Linked DNA regions of Struthio camelus. The protein of the gene in region 1 interacts with the protein of each later gene in a pairwise test. Links are inferred from orthologs where the notes say so. Each region holds a gene or a part of one and is shown in the gene's direction. Other genes may lie near its edges. The genes, in order: EP300, PPARA and GRB2.

Region 1 (7,070 bases):
GAGATGTTGGGTTTGCCTTCTTTTTAACTGTTCAGTCCTTTCCTGCTTGTTCATATAGGCATATGTATTTGCTTCTTAGTGTGCTTTATGTTTTATTATGATTTTCCAGTAACAATGCATGTTATTATTTTGACAGGGAGCACTTAGAAGCAGCTGGTTGTGTGCATATGTATTGAGGTTCATTAAAGAAGACCTCAGTGTATTTAGCAAAAATCAATAGGTGCTGAAATCTTTTTCCTGTTTTTTCCTTGACCCTCTCTTCCTAGGTTTTCCTTTTTTTTTTCCTCCTTTTCTCTTTAGAGTGGCTTTCTTTCTCAGAAACCGCAAGTAGCATCTCATCCTGCTACTTTTTAATTTATATTCCTCATATTTCAGCTTACGTTTAAGTCTCTAATGTGGAAAGCCAACTGAATATGACTTCCTGATATATAAAGAATTAAGGTATTCTTCTGGTCGTGGAACTAGTAAGGCAGATGTATTGTATTAATATATCAGTTAATTACTTACATTCATAGCTCATATTAAGGATATAGATGTTGTTTGGGTAGCATTCAGCAAAGGGTGTGTGTTTTCCACGGTTCAGATAGGCTAGATGCTACCTTCACTGAACTCACTCCAAGGATAAATAGATAGATAGCCAGAGCAGAAGGGAAGGTGCACAAAAAAGGTTTTATTTTGTTTTTCTTTTTCAGCTTTCACTGTTACTTAGCTAAACAACTAACTGATCCACATGATACCCTCTGGAGTAACAACTCACTACTCAGTCCTTTAACTTTTATTTCTCAGGTTGTGATCCTGCAAGCACACATGTGCTTGGTTTTACTATGGTGAGTAGTACAGTGAGATTTCAGTGGAACTATGTGCTAAATAAAACTAAGCACACATGCAACTATTGGTAGGATCAAGTCTCTAGATAGGAACTAGTGTCACAAAACTTTTATTTGAAACATCTGCTTTGCTCCAAGCTTGTTGTTTAGTAAGGACCAGACTTTTAAAAGTATTTAGGTGTTTATGTGCACCTTGGTGTCTTTATAAAGCTGGCACTAATTCCTTATTGAAGTACGCATTAAGGGCCTCTAGAGAGTCTGAAAACCTTATATAGACTGATTTGAGTCAACTTTTAATTCTAAGGAGACTTTAAAAACAGTTAAAATTAATCTCAGCTGTGTTTAAAAAAAAAAGCGCTTCGCAAGCAAGGGAAAGAGTCAATCTGGCGAAATAAATTGAGGTAATACAAGACTTCTGTAACTCTGAAATATTTCTGAGAGCGTTAGTAGCCATAACAGGTGGAAAACCTGTGAGAACCGTGCGTAGTTTCTAAGGTGAGGCTGTTACTTAGTCGTTCTTGCAAGGCACCCTCCAGCTCTCTTCTCAAACGGACAGATTTGCGCCCCTGCCTATGTCTCCGAGACTTTTCGCCGAGGAGAAGACACGCAGAACCTTTCGGAGCAGCTTGAGCGTAACCCGCTTCGCGTTTTTTCCCCTTTTGTGCCGGGGGGGAAGACAACAACCACAACCACCTTGCCCGAAATAAAGCCGAAACAAGGGAAACTCAAGCGTGGGAGTGAGTATGTGCGCGGGAAGCTGGTGGGTAACTGTTAGAGGGCTGCGAATCTCTACTCCTTCCTTCTCGCCCTCTCCTCTCCTGTGGTGTTTATGCTGTTGCTTGTAATAGGCTCTTGCCCAAACACCTGGTACAGGTCTTACAGGCAGAATGGCAGAAAACTCAATTCTGAGTGTGGGTGGTAAGAAAAAAAAAAAAAGGGGGGGAGAGGGGGAAGGACTGAGCACTCCCTGCCTTAAAGGCCTCCCGAATCTTGCACAGCGAGGAACAAGACGAGGGGATAAAACAACCTCTAACCTCCTCCCCAGTTCGTGTATTTTAGGAAAAAAAAAAAACACAAAAATCGCAAAAAAGAAGTCAGCGTTCGGGAGGCGAAGGGGAATCGGTTCGCAGGAGCTGATGCGCAGGGCGCTGGTTCCTCCCAAACGGCCCACCCCGCTCACATGAAATCGCGGTTTTTCCCATTAAAAACATAGGCAGGCCTGCCTCCCCTTCCCGTTCTTGTCGCAGAAGGGTGTAAAACCGGGGCGGGGGGGGGGGGAAGCCCAAACACCCCCCCCAAACAAAAAAAAAGGCTAGGAAGGGGTATTTCCTCGCTAATGATGGCTGATGAGGGCTTAAAGACTTGAGAAACTCCTGGCCAGCCCGTAATCCCCACTAAGCTCTAAAATGGCTCGGCGACGGTTATCGAGGAGCGCGTCAACGTTACCTACCACTGCCCACAGCCCAGGAGCGGCCTCGCACCGAGCCCCAGGGGAGCCGGCGCCCTTTCAGGCCGCTCCTTCACCCCCCCCCACCCCCCGTTTCCTTTCATCTAGGCATCGCTTTTGGCCAGAAACTCCGGTTTTATGTGATGTTGACGTAGCTCCGGTCACTGGGGGGGGGAGGGGGGAAGTTTATTGAAAAAGGGAGAACAGGTATCTTGGGGATTCACTGCTCGCCAGGCCCCTTTTTTGCGGGGCAGACTCGGCGAGAAGAGGCCTGGCAGGGCCGCCCTGCCACAGCCGGCCGGCCTGCCCCGAGCCGCCGCCGCCGCCGCCGCGCACTTTTTGGCCGACACAAAACAGGGGCGGGGGAAGGAGGAAGATAGAAGAAGCTTCCTCCTTCCTTCCTCCCCCCCTTCCCTTAACGCGTTGCCTTTAAGGGGCGGAGTGAAGGGAGTTTGCGGAAGCGCCCGGCGAATAGCGGGCGCTGATAGGCTGGCCGCGGTCTCGTGACGGGCCGCCGCCGCTCCGGGGTTCCCCCTCCCTCCCGCAGCACGCAAGCCCCCCGCGTTCCATTGTGTGCGCCAGCGCCGCCGGGCCCCGCCCCCAAGCCTGGCCCCGCCCCCTTTTCTCTCTCTCCCTCCCCCCCCCCTTTGGCTCATTTCCGGCCGCCGCCACCGCTGCTCGCTTCCCCTCTGAGGACTCGGGAGAGTGAAGAAACAACAGCCGCCATTTTGTTTGTGTGTGAGCGACTGAGGGAGGGAGCGAGAGACCGAGCCGGACGGGGCGAGCCAGGGGGAGGGCAGCGCAGAGAGACCCAGGGGCCCGGCCAGGGGACGGGGAGAGAAGAGAGAAGCTGAGACGCCCGCCCGGCCTCCCCCCCCCCTCCGCTAGCCTGCCCCTCCTCTCTCTTTATCTCTTTTTCTTTCCTCCCCCCTCCTTTTTTTTTTTTTATTTTTTAAGATTTCTTTCCCCTTTCCTCTCTGCCTTTCCTTCTCCCTTGCGCCCCCCGCTTCTGCCCGCCCCGCCGCACACGCCACAGGAGCGGCCGCCGCCGAGCGCCAGGCAGGGGCAGTAGGGAGCCTGCGCTCGGCCCCCGCGCTCCCAGCGCCGTCCCGCCCCAGCCCCCCCCCCCCGCCGCCGGGGAGCGCCGAGGACCCCCTCCCCCTCCCGGGGCGAGCCCCCCGCCCTCCCCCAGCCCCGGTTTTCTTTTATTATTTTAATTTTAATCTCTCTCTCTCGCTGACCGGCTTCTTCCCCCTCTCTTCCCCGCCCTCCTCCCCCCCCCTCACCTACCAAGCTCTTCGCTTCCTTCCCCACCCTCGCAGCGGCCGGGAGGGAGTCCCCGCCGCGCCCCGGCAGCGGACGAGGCTTTTTCGCCCTCGCTTTTGCGCCCGCCGCCCCCTGCCTCCGCGGCAGCCCCCTCCCTGCCCGGAGCCAGCGCTCGCCACCATCCTCAGGCACCCGGGAGGGGGGAAGGTAGGCAGAGGGGGGGGAGGGGCCGGCTGCTGCTCCTGCTGCCTCCTCCTCCTCCTCCTCCTGCTCCTGCCGCCGCTGTTGCTGCTGCTGTGGGATCGGCCCCCTCTGCCTGCGCTGGAGGGGGGGGCACCCTGCTACTGAGAGCGAGAGAAAGAGGAAGGGGAAAGAAGAGAAGAAGGGAGGGGGGGCAGAGAGGGTGTTGAAACCCGCCCCCCACCTTCCCATCCCGCGATCGGTGCTGCCTCCATCAGGACAACAACCCCGCCTTCTTCCCTGCACAACAAGATGTGAAGCGGAGACTCCTGGGACTTATCCTCACCCTCCTCATCCTTACAGCTCCCCTTTCTGCAGCCATTAGTGACTGGCGAGGAAGAAGCGAGGGGAGCTGGGGACCCCGCGCACGCTCGGCCTCTTTCGCCTCCTCCTCCCCCCCAGCCCTGTCGCTGGCGGTGGGTATTTTTTTGCAGGGTGGTGTTGGAGGGGGAAGGAGCCGCTGCTAGAGGACGGTGATCTTTTTTTCTTTTTTCCTCCTCCTCTCCCCTCCTTCGCCCGCCTCCTTGTGGCGATGAGGAGGAGGAGGACGGCGCCGAGGAGGAAGAGGCTGATGACGGCGGTGAGGAGGCAGCAAGAGGAGGAGACCCCCCGAAGGATGAAGATGATGATGGTGGCGGCGGCGCGGAAGCAACAGCAGCACAACAGCCGGGATTAATTTTACTAAAAACCCACCAGCCTCTTTCTCCCCCCCCCCTCCTTTTTTTCTTTTTTTTTTTTTTTTGGCGGGGGCTTTACCAGCTCTTCCCATCTTCGCTCTGCCCTTTCGCCTGGGGGAAGAGGCCTCTTCCCCTCGCTGCTCCCCACCTTCTCCCCGCTTCTCCGCTGCCGCCCTCCCGGAGCCCGAGCCCGAGGGGCAGAAAAAGGGGAACTTGGCCCCCTCCTCCGGCAGATCCTTCTCGCTCGCTCTCGTCGTTATTGTTGTTCTTCAGCTGACTCGGGGCCTGGGAAGAAGGTGAAGGTTTTGCCCCCCCCCTCCCCCGGTCTCTTTACTCTGAGTGATTGTCTAAAAAAGAATTAAAAATGGCCGAGAATGTGGTGGAGCCGGGCCCGCCTTCAGCCAAGCGGCCTAAACTCTCCTCACCGGCGCTCTCCGTGTCCGCCAGCGACGGCACAGGTCAGTCTCGGGGGCCCGGGCTCTCAGCCTCTTGGTGCCACAAATTACTGCCCTTTTCTCTCCTCTCTTGCCTAAATCGCCTCCTCCCTTTTGCTTCTTTAACTTGTTCCTTCCTTTCTCCTCTCTGTCTGTGATTTCTCCCTTTTTCTTTCTTTTTGCTCTTATTTGTGTTAATGCCGTAGGAGGAGGGTGTTCGGCTATTTCAGCCCTTTTATTTTTTGGAAGTGATTGAAAGCAAAGCTGTTCAGTTTATTGTGCTTTTGATCAGTCACAGATAAGAATTAACAGTTTGTCATTTTCTTGTCTTTCATAATAGTAATTATTTCAGAGCTCCTCGTTAAGCATATGCATTTAATTCCAGTTGCAGAAATATGAAATATTGCTTACAATGATGCTTTTGTACACTTTATTGTCGATTTCTGTGTGTATGTTTGCATATACACACACACACAAATACATGCCTGTTTCTTATTTTATTTTGCCTGTATGTACGGTGTTTTTATAACTCGTTTAGAAACATGAGATTTATTTCTCTATTCTTTTTCTTTTACCCTCTTAACAGGCACTCCGGTTATTTGATTTACTTTTTACAATCCTTCTTACTCTTCCTTGCACAAGGATTTCTAAAAAAAAAAAAAAAAAACCTGTTTTTTATTTCAAATAGACTATCGATTTAAGGAAAAAAACAACAACTAAAAACAAAATCCAGATTGCAAGTTTGGGGCTTAAGGCTTATCAAGAGCCTTAGCATTGTAGAAACAAAATATTATTTCACCTTATTTGCATTAAGAACCAATATGGAGTGCAATTCATTCTGCATCTCCCATTTCTTTGCTGCGAGAGCAAAATGTCTGAAATTCCCCTGTAGACTTATGGGTTGGGAAGATAAAGGGGCTTCTCTGCAATCCTGCAAAGATCTTTGGTGATGTTTTAGTAGGGAGGAATAATCTGCTCTGTGGAAACTCCAGAGTTGCTGTGGAGTCAAGCTAGAGGCTGGAAGTCTCCGGTGTCCCCATCCCTAGCAAACATGAACTGGTTGTACTGGGAAGGGAGAGGGAGGTAACAAAGGGCTGCTCTGCTTTTTAATGCTTCTTGTGAAGCAGATGAGCATTTAGTGTCATTTTGCTCTGAAAGTACTTGGTTACCTATCCCACAGGAGTTTCCTTAAACTCACTTTAGATCATCTTAGCCTATGGGAGTTGGAGGAGGCTGCCTTCTGCAGAATCTGATGAGAGATGGCGTTCCTGGTGCCACCAGTCTTAGTCACTGCAGTTAGATCTGTGAAGAAAAGGAAGAGTTAAAAAAAAAAAAAGCTGATCGTTTGACAGTAAACAGGAGGTTTAAATACCCAGTTTTTGGCTCAGCACGGGGTGTGATTCCAGTTTGAATCATCTTAAAAATTTTGATTTTTGCCTTCTCTTTATTCTTGGTGAATGACACATTAGTTTTAAAAAAAAAAAAGTTTATGTGTAACTTTCAGAGCATTTTAGTTATAGGCAGTTTTGTGTTGTAACTGGAGCAGATGACTAGTCTTGATATCAACAGGTCTCTGGTAAGAGAGTAGGAGAGGGTTGGAGGAGCTCTTCAGCTACAGCTAGTTGTGGAGGTTTTTTTACACTAGACTTGGAAAGCAGTACTTAATTCAGTAGTAATCGTTTTCATTCTTTCTCTTGACAGGGTTGGCCTTGCTCTGTGTAGGTGGCTAAATAAAAGATGGGTTTTGTGAGAGAAGCCCTGATGCTTGAAAGTAGGAAAGTTGGAGGGTTGTTAGATGAATACAAGTATCAAAGTTAAGGCATTTGCGATCAGATAAGATTTGTGTAAAGTGGATTTATTTCAGTGTAAGAGGTGCAGATTTTCTCAGAATATTTAGTTTCTTTTAATTGTTAGTCTACTGGACAGTTTAATTGGCGATCTTTTTATATTTATGGTGAAACACACTAGGGATTATTGGACAAATTCAAAGGAATTCAGATATGACATTGTAGTGTGCAAAACGGGATACATTTTTTTGAAGTTGTTGAGATTGTCATCACCTGCTGGCTATCCAGAGGTTTTTAATGGTGCAAATATTTCATGTATGTTACAAAGAACTGTTGAAGGGTTCTCATTCTTGTGCACTTTGTTTGCAATTTATTACCTGGATTTAGCACAC
Region 2 (7,328 bases), about 24 Mb from region 1:
AGGGAGGAATTGAACAGTACAGTTCGATCATAAGAGTAATTACTTACTCCGTAAACTATTTTCACATTTGAAAGATTCCCCTACAGTTCCTTGATGTCCTGCAGAAGGTTCAAGTGTGGGCTCGCCTTCAGAAAGAGTGTGGAGGGGGTACTGTTTTCTCCATCTCCTTTAATTTACTCTCAATGTGTACTTCCTCGATCAGTGTAAGAAAGGTGCTTGTTCACCAGTAGCAGTTTTTCCTTAGAAGAATACTTTTTAATTGAAATGGAGAAGTGAAAAAGATGTAATGATGGGTGGAGAGCCTGATCACATTAAGAAAAATTTAATCTAACAGTTCTCATCATTGCTGCCAATGTACCAGCATAAAAAGCATATAAGTTATCAGAGAAATTCTACACATTGTGGGCTATGAAGGGTTAATTGATAAGTTTAAAGCACCATCATCTTATATACAACTGTTCTTACTCTTCTTGCCACAGGAAGAGGGGGATTGACATCTGGAATGTTTGATCTTGATACTCTGACAGATAATGAGTTATTTCTCTAGTAAGTAGAGAGTAATGAGTAATGCCATTTCCAGACAGGATATTTCTGATGGATAAAAATGATCTGAATGATTGAATCCATATCTTACACTGATGAAATGGCATGGTAAACATCTCTTATGAAAGTGAAATACAAGTAACGACTTTAATCACTTATTTTGATGGAAAATGAAATCTTGACATAGATTTAAAAAAAATCTGATATTGAGATAATTTTGTGGCAAAATAGACTTGTGTAAATGTATAACCTGAATCCTGGTTCTATCCATAACCTGTCATGTCGAAATGAGGCAGATGAGCCTGATCTAATTTATCTTAAAATGTTTTCATTTATCACTCTTAGTCTTAGAACTTTGGTCTAATCCAACATAGAGACATGTACCTAAAACCAAACCTTAAAGCCAGCTTGCTCCAGAACAACAAAATGAAGCAGTGCAGGAGTTTCCCGAAGAAAACTGCTGCTACACAAGGACTGAACTGTAGGCATAAAGGAGGGTCAGGGTACATAGATCTCACCGGTCTCCTCTGCTTCACCAGTCTGGGTGTTTTTAAGGGGGTTGATTTGGAGAGGGAGAGCTATTTTTTTAACAGTAATAACAAAAACAACAATAAAAAATACTGTGTTTGCAAGTAACTCACATATTAACTGAAATAAATCAAATATAATCTACTTCCGTTCATTATTACCTGGAGCCTTTGAATTCAAATTATTTTGACCAATCACAAATGTGCAGGATTCAGCATGCACAAAAAGTCTTAAATAACGCTCTGGTGTTTTCTATATGCTTCCGTTAATGACGTCTATTCATAAAACTTGTTCTGTTGTGACAGTCTGGCCACTTAAATTCTTTGAAGAATAAGAATGTGATAAAATTAAAGTAATTTTACTTCAGTAAATAAATGTCAGTTCATTAAAACTTCAGCAGTCAAAAAAAGAGAAACAGGACCAAATATATGGCATTTCAGCTTATAAAATGCTGGGTACTATGTCTGGTCTCTACAGTTGCTGCTGAAGTATATACTTATATGGGAAGGATCTATTTTACTTAAAATAATGACTTTGTTAGGAAGGTCCTTCATGATGACACAGCAAAAATGAGGCACATTGTCTGTTAAAATTCCTATCATCAGATCAGCAGGAGAAACCACAGCAAATATTTGAACGCAGGGTCAGCCCACTTCCTGCATTTTGCCAGTAGTTGGAGGAGGTGGTGAAAGCATAGCGAATTTTTGCTGTTATAGTCCATTTTCCAAACTTATGAATGAGTTTGTGCCTTGTCCTGAATTGAACTGTTAATCTACTTCTACAGTCATAAATGTTACAATATTCAGTATATTTTGATTAAAACTTGCAAAAAAAAAACCCCACCCCATTTTATTACAGAAATGCTACTTGTCACTGTTAAGATCTATGACAAAACCAGCTGGATACTGGAAAGATGGAAAATCAGCTACTGCATAAGTCTGTCTGCCTGTTTCACAACTGTCAATCTATTAAGCAATATTAATATGATTAGTGCATATTAACAGAATAGAACACTAATTAAAGCTTATTTCATCTAAAAGCCTAGTAAGCAACCTAATTTCAGATTTCTAAAAGTTGGCACATTTAAATAGCTAATGGATGTTTATGATACTTAGTGTGTTATTAAGATCTGAACTGTGATATGAATTTATGCAATCAAATCAATAATCTACATTTTAAAAGGGCTTTATGTACAAAAGGATTCAGTATGGTCTCTTGACTAAAGCTGTTAAATGTGAGATAAGTTTTCCATCTTTATTATAGGTATTTTCTGCAACACCAGCCATATTTATGGACAAAATTTATGTAACTTGTTTAAGAGAAAACAGTTCCAAAATAGGACTTAACAAACTTCCTCTCCAGGTCTTGGATAACACAGTCACCTTAGCTGATTCTGCTGGAGACATAGGTTGTTAAGAGTCTGGTTATCAGGTAGTGTGGGATGGGTAATCTATAGCTTATAAACAGGAAACAGCCCACAACTCATTCTAAATCACAAAAAATTATTTTTGTATTTTTACTGCATTTTGGGTTAATTTAGTGTTACTGTGTGACCCTGGGCGAGGTATATGAAATGTCTATTTGAGCCTCAAAAAGAGAGCTGATCTCTTTAGCTAGGAAAAAGCCCACAGTGTGGAGGTGTTCTCACTAGAAATGACTAAGTCCCGACCGTGGTAGATCTCTCAAATTTGTAACTTCCAATGGCAAAAGCCCACAACCTTGCTAAGTGTGTGTGTGTGGGGGGGGGGGGGGGTCCCCCCGCCCGGGAATTTCACTATAGTGTTCGTACAATGCCATCTTTGGTAACAACAGTAGAAGTATGTATGCAAAATGACCACCTAAATCTCGTCCAAAAGTTCAATACGGAAATCAAAGGAAAGTGTTTGTGCTCTCCACAGCTTCCTTGACAAAGCAAGGGGGAAACATCTTTAAGGGCTGATTACACATGCAAATTAAAACATTATATATATGTTTTTTAACTGTATTCTTTCTGTTTGTGTATATTTTCAGGAAAAATAAAATAAAAACAAGAAAAGAAATAAAACCGAACGGAATGAAAAGCACACCTGCTCGGATAACATCTTTTATGGAAATAGGCCCTGATCCTTGTTGCTGGCTGAGCTGTATTACACATCGTCTGTGGGGTGGGATATGTAGGTGTAAACTTGGACGTTAACTTTTTAAAGCAGCTGAATGCTTGTGGCATTGGGTGTTGGCCTGCCTTGGGGTAGAAATTGGAGCAGCACTACTAATCAGTAGAAGTCAGCTTGTTACCAGAGCCAATATAGCATTTTGAAATATTTTGGAAAGAAACTTGAATTACTGTAAATAAGGGCTTTCGTTAGCTTCTATTTTCTGCTGTTGATACTATGTTTTATTGATCTATACTGAGATATGCTTTCTGGATGTTTTTCATCTTCTGTCATTACTGATGATTCTACATTGAACGCTCTAATGTGCAGATCTGTGTGTTTGAGCTCAAGGTTGAGAAATTTATGGAATTAAATATGATGCTTGCAGTAGTACAGACTGAGTTTCCAGGACAGAGTTTCCTTTTCTTCCTTTCTGGTCCTATGTGTCTCCCTTCTGAATGGCCACAAACTATGATTCTGTGAAAGGGTAAAAATAAGCAAAACCTATGTGTGTAGGCTTGCTAGGCATAGAAGAGGTTCATATCAGAAACATCTGAAATAGGTCATGTTTTCTCGTATTGGCATCCACGTAAAGACTGATCTAGTCAACAATAAGGTGCCTTTTCTTTCAAATGGAATGATAAAATAAAAGTAAAAATGCAATTAAAAAATTGATGATGGCCAGGAGGATAATCAAGAAATGTGATATCCATGAAGCAGTCAAAGAGTAGAAATTTCTGTTAAAAAGAAAGAAAAAAAAGGATTATCTTTTAAAAACAATGTATTTATACTTTTGGGTGCCTTTTGAAGACCTTCAGTCCCTGAGAGACTGAAGAAATCAGTCATGTACAGACAATTTTTCTTCAGGATTTTGTGTTTTGTGGAGGATTTTGTGTTTTGTGGGTGTGTGTGTTGTTTTCTAGGGGTTTTGTGTGTGTGTGTGTGTGTGTGTTTGTTTTTTGGTAGCTGTTCCCTGTAATAACTTTCTAAACTAAATAATACCCCTTAAAAAAAAAAAAAACAGCTGCAGGTAGCCAGCAGCCTCCATCCGGCGCGTGGGTCAGGAGGATGCCGCTGGAGTGGGCCGCCCTGTCAGCCTGTAACGCCGAGCCGCCCGGGCCGCTGCTGCTGTGCCCCAGGCAGCACACCCAACCCGGTGGTACCCCGTTTCCTGACGGTGCTCCGCATCAAAGGCGAGCCCCAGCTTTTCCAGTGCAAGCGGCCCGGACTCGGGACGGAGCTGGGTCGGCGGCTCGACCTCCCCACCAACAGCGGACCCTCCCGCGCCACAGGTTTTTAAAAAAAAAAAAACACATAGGTGCCCGGGCAATGTCAGCGCCCTGCCGGCCCGCGGCGGGCCGAGCCGTGCCGGGGCGGTGAGCCCTGGGGAGCCCCCGTCCCCCGCGAGCGCCCGCTGCGCGGCGGGGACCAACGGCCGCCGGGGACCAACGGCCGCCGGGGCCAGCGCGCGGCGTGGCGGCGGAGGGGTGGGGGGAGGAGGGAGGGGACCGGCGGGCAGGCGCTGGGCGCTCGCCTCACGCGTGACCGGGGATGAGGCGCCGGCCCCGGCCCCGGCCCCGCTACCTCTGCGTGTGACCGGGCAGCGCTGCGTGCGCCGCTCCTTCACGTGAGCGCCGCGACCTGGCCGCCGCGCTCCGCAAATAGCTCGGCGGGCGGATAAGAGGCAGGCAGAGCCAGCCCAGACTTTGTTCCCGGGCAGATGCCTTCGCCCGCTCAGCCAGCGCCGGTTTGTCTCTTGACTCTCTCGCGTTTTCTTTGCCCTTGACCGAAGCTTGCGGGCGGGCCGGGCTCGGCTTCCCCCCTCCTCCCCCCGCCCCGCGCTCCGGGGGGCGGTGAGCGTCGCCGCCGGGGCCCTGAGGGGCGGCGCGGGCGGCCGTTACCGCGGGCGACCGCGGTGCGCTGGCGGCGAGGGCGGCACGGGACCGTACCCGCCGGGCTGCCCCGGGCGCGTTTTCCCGTTGGGCTTTTCCCTCTTATTTCTTCGTTTTTTGGTTTCAGCTCATCGCCGGGTGAGTCTCCCGCGGGGTGGGGGGTGGGGGGTCACGGCGGCGGGGGGTGGGGTGCGGGGGGCGCGCGGAGGCCTCCGCCCTCCTCCCCCCTCCACAGGTTTCTCCCCGCGGAGCCAATAGCAGGCGGCCATTGTGGGAGGTGTGTGCCGCGACCTCACTTCCGGTACCTGTCACCCTGCCGCCCCGCGTCAGTCAGACTCGGGATTGGGGTACTTCTGCCCCCCCCTCCCTGCCCCGTTGGGGTGTGCGCGCTGGGCGGCCGCCGGCGGCGAGGGGGTGCGCCCGCGCTGGCCGCGGCGGTTGGCGCGGGCGAGCCGAGCCGAGCCGAGCCCTGCGCGCCTCCCGCGGCGGATTGCGGCCGGGGACGCGGCGGCGCCGACCCGACCCGGCCTGGCCCTGCCCTGCCCCGCTCCGCTCATGGGCCGCCGGCGTCTGCGGGCAGCAGCGCCGAGCCGCCTGCCCGCCGGCCGGCAGTAATGCACGGTATTAGCGTCGGCAGCGCAGAGCCTGCCTGCGTCCCTCGCTTGGGCTTCGGCGGGGAGGGGGCACGGGCAGTGGGAGCGGGGTCTCTGTCTCGCTAAAACGGCGGCAGTTGAGCTAACGACTTGGTCTTCCTTCCCTCCCCCCCCCCTTTTTTTTTTTTGGTCGTTGTGTTTTGAAACGTTCTGCAAACCCGTGGTGGCGGCGGTGGCAAAGGCGAGGAGAGAGAGTTAGCTGGTTTGGGGAGATGCTTTAGCCATTACTGTTGCTGCGCTCGGGCTTCACGCCTCCGCTTTGCCTGTGTGGGGAGCCGCGGTGGGAGGCGCCCCGAGGTCACAGGGGTTAAAGAACCAGCAGGAACCAGCCCTGGCAGAGGTTAGTGTTTATGGCTAAAGAGCAATCTGGGAAACTTTATGGGGAGACTTCAGGGTGTTGGGGGAAGGGGAAGAGAGAGAGGGAGAGAAAGAGAAGTCCTGTCTTTTAAAAAGTGCTTTTTTGCTGTTGCAGTATCTCCTGAACACAGCACATATAAATTGTCCTTACCTAGTTTGAGAAAGCAACATATGCGCCGGATGGAAGATAAGGTGTTTGGAGGTTATCCTTCAGACAGGTTGTGCTTTTACCATGCAATTGGCCGGATTTATCCTTGGACGGAGGAGTGGGTCAGTGGCAGCTCCCCCTAGATTTGTTTTTGTGGTTTGACAAGAAAAACGTGTTCTTGATTGTCCCTATAGGCCTGTCCACTTGTTTTCTGAAAGAGTGGAAAAGATAGCATTCACATAGAAATGGAAAGAAGTGTTAAAAGGTCTTGTTTTTAAGTTGGAAATGGCCTTGTCTATTCATATTAAGATTAGCCCCATCTCACTGGTGTGAGTAGCTATTTCTAAGCTCTCAAATGGAAGATGTGTGAGGACAGGATTATTTGAAATAATGATGTCTGACACTTCTGTGGCATTGGATGTCATAGAAGTACTGCACACATGAAGAAGTTGCATAAGTTTTGCTGGGAAGCAAAGGTTTCATCAACCTGTTCTTGTATTGTAGAACACGAACAAACTTTCTTATAAGTATCTAACACTAAATATCGGGCTGAAACTTGCTTTTTTTTTCCAGGCAGCAAAGTCAATCCTTTTCAAATTTTGAACCGCTATGTTAATACTGAGGATACCTGCTCTCATACTGAAACTGACAGCAGTGGTGGTTCCTGTGATGTGGTCACAAGTCCACTCAGAGCTAAACCAGTATCATAATTTTGTTATTTCCCGTGAGCTATCAAACAGCCTTTGGCTGCTAGTTACTTTTAATGGCAACTTTTTGGATTTAAGTAGCACAATGTATTTCGGAAGGATGAGTGTGTGAACTGACCTTATCAGACGTTTGTAGAACTGTGTAGACAGCAGGCTCTTTTTCTTTTTCCGTGTATGGAAGGAGCACTTGACATCGTCCAAAAAAAAGTTCTTATCAATCTCCTGATGCTTTATATTGAATCTCATCCTCTATAATCAAGTGGCCTAGGGAGTTTTGATTACCTATTATGATCTTGTACGTCATGAAAACTTGTATTTTTCTCCCTTGCATTTCAGTATTTCTTTGCTGTCATCTTTTTTTCTGTTTT
Region 3 (7,964 bases), on another chromosome or scaffold:
CCTGGGAAGCGGCAAGTATTCAGTATTCAGACTGCTGGTTAGCAAAGAACTGCTCGCAATACAGTAACCACCACTTGCAAGTGCCATTTTCTGGCTGCCTTCCGGCTGGCCTATCAATAAAATAAGCCACAAGTCTGGACTCTGCCCTAGTTTTCGGTTCTGTGACCCCTGTCAATGTGCACACACCAAGGGAATGAAGCTATTTTCAGTTGCTTCATCTCCCTGCCTGGCCAACTAGCAAATGCAAAGAGAGGATCAAAGCTACTGGAGCAAAGCTGACAAAGAGGGCTGGGTGTACAAAGGAGGAACATGCACCTTTGTATGCTTTCACACAGCAGCTTGGAGCCTTTAACTTGAGGACCCCCTTCAACATAAGGGGAAGTAAGAAGGAGCTGATTTTTAAGGACAATATGGCCACTGACCAAAAATGAGCTAGAAAAAACTCTATAATTCTTCTTCTAAATTATTTGCAGATCTACCAAAGGATTTATGCACCTTGTTCTCACTTATATGCAAAAATTAAGTGCCTGAATTTTTCTCTGTATCTGGACTTTAAAGGCATAACTATCAGTGGCATGACTGGGTAACTGGGAAGCCAAAGTCACAAAAGCAGAAAAAGAAAAAACATCCTGAGCTGTTTGTGCTAATCCCAGGAAGACTGTATCATCAGCTGTGGTGGGTGGCTGTAGCTGGAGGGAAGGGGGTCATGCACGGAGACAGCTGGGCAGGAGGCTTCATTGCAATGCAGTGAGTGACATTCTGTTTTAGACACCAAGCTGAAATGTGATCTTGAACGTGAAACACACCACTCCTTAAAGTTCAAGGCATATCATTTGCATGTTTAGGAACACCACCCTGAAGTCCTTCAGTGCTATGAAGCAGTGTATACAACAAGGGTGTTAGACATACAAAAGACTGGTTGCAGAGAGGGAATATTCCCTGCCAAGAGAAATTCAAAAGCTGTTATAATGAACAAGGTAATAACAGCTTGTAAAAGTAACGAGTGGTACATCCAGCACTGCCTCATCATCATACATGCTTAGGGCTTCTCCAAAGTCTGAACCAACTGATCTGAAACCCATAAGCAGCTCAGTTTCTCTCATCTTCCCTATTTAAGGTGTGAACAATAGTTAGATTATAGACATTTCAAACAGAGAAAGCAAAGAAGCCACGTCTTTCCTGTGCCAATCTGGATATACAAAACAAGCAAAAAGTTTCATTTTTCAGAGTAGAATTACACTTTTAAAAGGATTTTTATTAAGAGCCAAAAATTCAAAACAAAGCTAGTCCTAGGTATGTTAGGATATCCTATTATTAGCACAACTGTAGCCAAAGGCAAAGACTGGCTACAATGAGAAACAATCTTTCCTAAATTTCTGCACTAGGTTTCTTACTGGAGCCATCTAAAATGTAATGTACCTACTTTCCCCCCATCCCCCAAATACAGGCTCTATCAGAGTAAAAAGCCTGCAAGAATATTTGCAAGAACTATGCCATGCCAATTAAAATCACCTATCTGCACTACAGACACCTTGTGCACAATCAGAAAACACAGCCTCACAGAACGAGGAGCTGAAGCAATTCATGAATTCTGTAGGCAACGGGCAATGCACAGATCTGCAGAGACCTGCAGAATCCTGCATTCATCTGCTCCACCCACTACAAGGCCCTTGGGTGCTCCCCTCCCCTCTATTTCAGGGATCCCTCTAATTCCCACTCTCGCACATGCATCTCCCCATCACCCCTACCCAACAGCAAGGCTATTTTAACTCCCTTCTGTCTGCCTGGGCAGTAAGTCACTCACGCTGTCAACACATTAAACTCTGCCAGACAGCAGGGCAGAAATTAAGTGGGATTGCTTTGGGGGAACATGCTAGTGGGCCTGCTGTGTTAAGCCACAGACAGAGATGCTTGAAGCTGTGGCTGTTCTAACCAGACACCATAGGCTCTGACTGCACCCAGTTTTCCTCAGTCTTCCCTCCATTCTCCTCAGGATGCTGTACATTGATGCCTAGAAGCCAATGAAATTTAGAACTGGCTGATATGGCGTTCAAATTTCAGCATATTCAGGCGATTAGAACCAGCATTCAGTAATCCAGATCTTTCCAAATTAAAAAAAATATTCCTATCACCCTTAACTCACTTCTGCTCAGGAGTGCTCTGAGGGAAGAGCACTTCTCGTAGCCTGATGTGATTATCAAGTGTTTGAAGCATCCTTCTGAATATCAGAAGCAGAGCTTTGCAAGGGTCTATTCAAACATTCATATACCTAATCATCTTTAGAATAACACTGTCGTATGGAAACTACAGATAATAAATAAATGCTATGCTTTCAGATCTTTCATCCAAGGATTTCAAAGCACCACAACCCACTAAACCTCACAACATCAATATGAGATATCAGTGCTGAAATTCAGCAGGAAACTATATAGCATGGTACCTAATGTACAAAATTTATAACATGATTAGTAAAAAAGAAAGATTAGATAATTAAACAACCAATAGACACTTGGAAAGAAAACTGTGTTTCAGAAGCAGCACACACTCCAAGTCTTTGGGAAGAAAAAAAAATCAACTTAATGATAGTGTTTTCCATGAAGTGGTGCATCGCTGATACTTTCATGTTATTTACTGAAAATTCCCAACATGGATGAATCTATAAAAAATGATGGGGAGTCTGAACATCTCTTGCTGCCAAAAGTGAATTCCTCAAGAACAGAAGTCTGATCTGTCACCCAAAATAGAAACACAGGGGAGCAGATAATAACAGAAAAAGCAGCTGCCTTGCAAAGAACGGCTTAGATTAGAGCTGACTGTTTTGATATCAGCAGAACCATACGGTCCTGCTACTCACGAATAGCTGATGTCTGCCTGATAATTTGCAGCATAGGCACATTTGCAGACAGATGGGCTTCCAAAGGTGCATAAAGTGACACTGTCAATTGACTTGAGACCCACTGAGAGTACAAAGTAATTACAGCAAGAGAAATGGCACTTACACTTTTGTCTTCAGCATCTGCCTGTGAAGAACCTAACTTGTCAAATTTGGGGCAAGCTATACTTTCTCTGCCTCGATATTCTTGTGTTACAGGAGGAATATACATATCTGCTTCACAGAGACACTGTGAAGCAAATTCATTAGTATCTGTAAAATAAGTGAGACCCTCCGAATTAGGGTTGTGTATGTGCTAAGTATTATCAACTCACTGGTGGTCAAATGCCTCAGTTGTTCGTGGCTGTGAAGACTCCATAGTGTATTTCAGAGAGACTTCATTTCTCTTGCTAAAATGACAGGAATTAAGAGAGTGCTATCTTGAATCAGTAACAGAATTAAACTTCGGATGAATATAAAATTTGGCTTCCAATTGACAATTATGCCTTTCTAGGGTAATATTAGCTTTTATTCAAATCCTATATGCAGAGAGTTTTCCAGGAAAATTAAGCTCTGACTTCTTCCTTCTTTCTTCAGCGAAGGACTCACACATCAGACTGTTGTTCCAAAAGACAGTGGGGACTTAAAACAGAAACTGGGCAACAAGGAGGGAGGAAGGGGAGTAAGAAATAGCTTTGGTGCACCCATTTCTATCTCAGGTATGCAGCCCTCAGTAACAACATAGGTTTACTTGCAAGATTATGATTGGTAAAACAGGATGCAACACAATTAAAAGAACAGATGTAACACAATTAAAAGAACATATTTATTTTTGTTTTAATTTTGTTCTGGTGAATTAAGAAGTAACTTTACAGATATGATCAAAACAATGATCAGTCTACTTTAATCTATCTTACTGTCTCCACAGAGGCCAATACTGTTTCATATTACGGTATAATAAATCTGAAAGTTATTTGCTGTGCTCATTTTCATTTCTTGGAAGAAAAAAAAAAAAAAAAGAGAGCTTGTGGATTAAAGATAGCTTTTATCTTTTCTGCTTCAGGTACTTGTTTCCTTCTCACAGCCTCTGAGCCCGCCACAGCCACATGTATTCAGCCTGGTTTGAAGGGAAAAATGCAACAAAAGGCCCAAATCTGAATGTCATCAGGGCCCCTCCAGCTTCTGCAGCGGTGGTGAGACATCATCTGCTTTGTGGGATGATGCCTTAAATGAGAACTAAAACATTTTACAGCAGATGTTTGGAAGAATTCACTGCAGAAGTGACAGATGTCATTCATCGTCATGACTTAGTAACTATGGTAACCAGGATTGTATAACTATGTCTATTAACAAAAGTACCGATACACCAGAAAAACTCAAAAAGGTAACAGCCCAAAATAAAATTGTTAAAAGCCCAAATTGCATGTATAGGATCTCCTGGAAAATCAGGAAATTTTTGCTGACCTACAGAGGCCCACAGATAAAAGTGCAGCTTTTTCCTCCTAATTCCAGCTTATAAGTAAGGCTGTTATAAGCATAATTGTTTACAGTAGAGGTAGGCAGAAACACTCTTATAGCAGTGTTTGCCACCTGGAGATATTTAACAAATGCAGTGCTGATGGGCTGGTGCTCTCTAGGAGTTCCCCAGAAGAGGCACGGCACCTGAAGGCCATTAGTAAGATCAAGCTCCTACATACATTCAAAACAAAGCGCAACTGTTATGTAGGAAAGGCATTGACTAGTTCAGTAGATCGTGTATTTTGCCATTCTCACAACAAGTTTCGTTAAAGCTTTGTGATCAACAACTTCTGTACCCTATTTACTGTACACATGGTCCCATATATAATCACAGATAAATCCAACCAACCCAGAGCAAACTCTGCTCCTTGCAGGCCAGGTGGCAGGACTTTCCCTCTGGCCAACCCTACAAAAGGACCTGTCTTTTGGCCAGACCTTCTTGGCCCCAGCCCTGCTCCTGGCCAATCCCCTCCAAGTCACAGGGGTATATAAGCCCTCACAACCCACCCCCTGCTTCTGGGATGTCCTTTTGTTTACAGCAACTCGTTCTCAGGAGTGCTTGCTCTGGCTTCTCATGGTCAGAGTCTGGATAGGAATGTAACAGAGGTAAGGCTGTCCTCAAAGTTATAGAGACTTGATGTGTTTGAGATGTAACATATTGGAGGAAAAAGGGTTGTTTCCTTGGTTCTACTTGTAGTATTAATATATATATTTTTGTGACCTAGGCTAAAAGTACAAATATCTTAACCTTCTCATTAATTAAAAATGTTGATAATGTGTTTGTTAAAAAGCCACAGTTAAGAAACATGTATATGCAAAGGTTTTTGATGTGCTCAGGTAAAAGAGAACAAAGAAATATAAGCTACTACTGCACAGAGCACAGGATATCTTATATAAAACCAGTATAGCCTAAGTACTTATACGCTTCTATTAAGCAGATCTCTTTTGAAAGAAAAACAACTATGCTTGCCAGGTTATTCAAGCTTTGCTATGATACTTGAGCAAGCCCTTTAGTTTAACAGAGTGCAGTGGGCATCAAAGTGTAACACTTTGTTTACATAAAGAATTAAATTTTGGAAAAACCTAAAGTATTTCATAAATGTTATGCACTACACAATTGTATTTCACTGTGTATGAGCTGTATGTTCAAATATGAACTTATTCTACTACAGCAGTTGTAGTATAATAGCTTTTTTTGAAAAGCATGCTATAAAACTTTCCCTCAAAAAAAAAAGAAAATAGTATGTATTACTTGGCAGCTGCCTCAGGAAGATGGGTGAATGCATTAGGCTGGTATCTGCAGCTGTCTTGGTAACTGATAAGACTAATTTGGAAGAAACTTTTTTACAGTATGAGTGTCTTTTTGTGTGGATTGAGACTTAAATGCATAACCAGAACACCCTCTACACCTGTGGGCAGGTTCTCCCTCCTTTTTTGTCTACCTTTTGGGTAGACAGGATTGTCTAAGATAAATTCCTTGTACGGTATGTAATGGGACTTTTAACTGGGGTTTTTTTTAGGCCTTTCCTTATCAATAAATGGCTTGTATTAACCTGAAAGGAGGAAGCTTCTGAACAACTGACAAACAGTAATAACATAATCCAGGAACTACAGAGATCCCAACTTTTGGAGAGGAAAACAAGCGGAAGTCTGAGGCAAAGCAGAATGCCATAGACGCCTGCTGATCAAAAGCCTGCAAGGAGGTAGGAGCAAGAGTGAAGCAAAATGAAACAACCGGCTGTATTAACAGATGGCGGCATTATCCCAGGCTGCCATCTAAGCTTGTAAATGATCTAGGTAAGCAGGTTAAGGGCACTTTATTCAGAATTTTGAATTTTCCCTGAAACCTTCATGTACAGTATGAAGCGTGCCATGACAGCAATGAGCCAGTGAAAGCTAGTTCAGTGTGTTATGCAAACTCCTGTTAGGTCTACTTCAGTTTCCCTTGCTTGCTTTGGGTTTTTTGTGTGTGGCAGTGGGGGCACTTCTCTCACGGGGGGGTGACTTCCCATCCAACTTCCTCCTGGGAGGAGATACTGTGGTGTGCAGGAGCCTGGCTCGAATAAGCAGACTGGCCGGGGCCCCGGTAGCCCCCACAGCTGCCGAAACGCCCTGGCTGCGCGTCCCCCTGGCTAGGGGCAGCCGCACCCACGCGTGCCCCGGGTTGAGGGGAGCGTGGCGGCCTCCGCCCCCGCCGAGGGGCGGCAGGAGAGCCCGAGCCGGGTGCGCGGCGTCTCCCCGCCCCGAGCCGGGGGCGGCCGGAGGCGACGGCGCCGCGGGAGCCCGGGGGCGGCCTGGCCCGGCCCTGCCTCCGGCCTCCCCCGCCGTGGCGACCCGGGTGGGGGCGACACGCCAGGCCCCGCTGCGCGGCGGGTCGGTGCCCGGCCTCGCCCCGCCGCGCCGCGCCGCCCGGCCTGTACTCACCCGCCGCGCCGGGCCGTCTCGGCGGGGCAGCCGCTCGCCCGCCGGGCCTCCCCCCGCGCCGCCGGGGCCGCCATCTGGGTCACTGGCACCCTCCCCCCACCCCGCCAGGGCGCGAGGGACCCGAGGCGGCGCTTCGGGCCCCCCTCAACAAGCCGGCGCCTGGTTGGTGAGACCCCGCGCGGCCGCCCGTACGCGGTGCGGTGATTGGTTAGGCCGGGGTGGCGCGCGAAGCCGAGCATCCGCCCCGGCGGCAGGACGGGGCTGGCTCTGAGGAGGACCTGAGAGGGCGGCCCGCCCTGAGGGCCGGCCGCCCGGCCCCTGCGGCGGCCAGGAGGAACACTGCCGCCACGGCGGCGACTCTGTCCCTCCGTCTCTGCCCGGCTGCTGCGGAGGGGGAGCAGTGCTGGGGGGATGCAGTCCTCCAGGGATGGAGGATCTGTTTTTTTTTTTTTTTTTGGGGGGGGGGGGGGGATGCTGAGCGCCGCCTGGGGCCCCGGTGCTGTGACAGAGGCAGATCATGGCTGGGTGGTGCTGTGGGGGGTGAGGGAGGGGGGCTCCCTGACAGGGCCGTTGCAGGCTTCCCCCTCTGAAAAGCTACTTTTGTCGTAGAGCGGCGGGAGGCTCCTTTGGGAGGCCTCTAAGGAGTCGTGAGGTGAAGGCCCGAGCTGGATGCCAAAGGCACAGGAAGCCAGGCCACACAGTAGGAGCGAACATACTCAGCCAATGATTTGGAGAGACATCTACACTGCTGCAGAGTCTGGGGAGGAAATCGGAGGGGTGTGGTAGAGAGGGCTTGCTTTGCCTCTTTGTACGGAGGTTTGAGGTTTTTTGTGTGTGAATTACAGTAGACAGGCTGACTGGAGAGATGTGTCCCCCTCAGGCTTGATTCTCTTACTGTCCCCGTAGCTCTCTGCAGAGGCTGTGATGCCACAGGTTCCACATGAGGTTTTTCTCTGCAAAACTGATGTTTGTTAGTGTTAAGCTACTGATGACAACCTGACACGGTTATCTTTAATTTTACAGCAATAAAATACAGAACACAAGGAATTCAAATCTTGCATGGTTTTCCTTGTGGATGAGGTTTTGGACAAGAATGTAGCATTTTAGGAGTGTACTCTGTAGTCCTTGGAGACAGCCTACTTTCCATGTT

The links.
Region 2: the proteins of EP300 (region 1) and PPARA interact in a two-hybrid assay, tested with the Homo sapiens proteins (3 studies listed by BioGRID). The link is inferred for Struthio camelus from reciprocal best matches to the Homo sapiens genes EP300 and PPARA.
Region 3: the proteins of EP300 (region 1) and GRB2 interact in a two-hybrid assay, tested with the Homo sapiens proteins (2 studies listed by BioGRID and IntAct). The link is inferred for Struthio camelus from reciprocal best matches to the Homo sapiens genes EP300 and GRB2.

Annotation. Positions count from the first base shown.
Region 1 is NC_090942.1:57,018,493-57,025,562, reverse strand, and holds the start of EP300 (histone acetyltransferase p300), read left to right. Parts: upstream 1-4,022; 5' UTR 4,023-4,821; coding exon 4,822-4,915; intron 4,916-7,070. UniProt on the Homo sapiens protein: Functions as a histone acetyltransferase and regulates transcription via chromatin remodeling. Acetylates all four core histones in nucleosomes. Histone acetylation gives an epigenetic tag for transcriptional activation.
Region 2 is NC_090942.1:80,656,401-80,663,728, forward strand, and holds the start of PPARA (peroxisome proliferator-activated receptor alpha), read left to right. Parts: upstream 1-4,245; 5' UTR 4,246-4,495; intron 4,496-4,692; exon of another isoform or gene 4,693-4,950; intron 4,951-5,043; exon of another isoform or gene 5,044-5,442; intron 5,443-5,526; exon of another isoform or gene 5,527-5,716; intron 5,717-5,929; exon of another isoform or gene 5,930-6,088; intron 6,089-7,328. UniProt on the Homo sapiens protein: Ligand-activated transcription factor. Key regulator of lipid metabolism. Activated by the endogenous ligand 1-palmitoyl-2-oleoyl-sn-glycerol-3-phosphocholine (16:0/18:1-GPC). Activated by oleylethanolamide, a naturally occurring lipid that regulates satiety.
Region 3 is NC_090960.1:8,334,780-8,342,743, reverse strand, and holds the start of GRB2 (growth factor receptor-bound protein 2), read left to right. Parts: upstream 1-4,911; 5' UTR 4,912-4,996; intron 4,997-5,910; 5' UTR 5,911-6,093; intron 6,094-6,814; exon of another isoform or gene 6,815-6,950; intron 6,951-7,964. UniProt on the Homo sapiens protein: Non-enzymatic adapter protein that plays a pivotal role in precisely regulated signaling cascades from cell surface receptors to cellular responses, including signaling transduction and gene expression.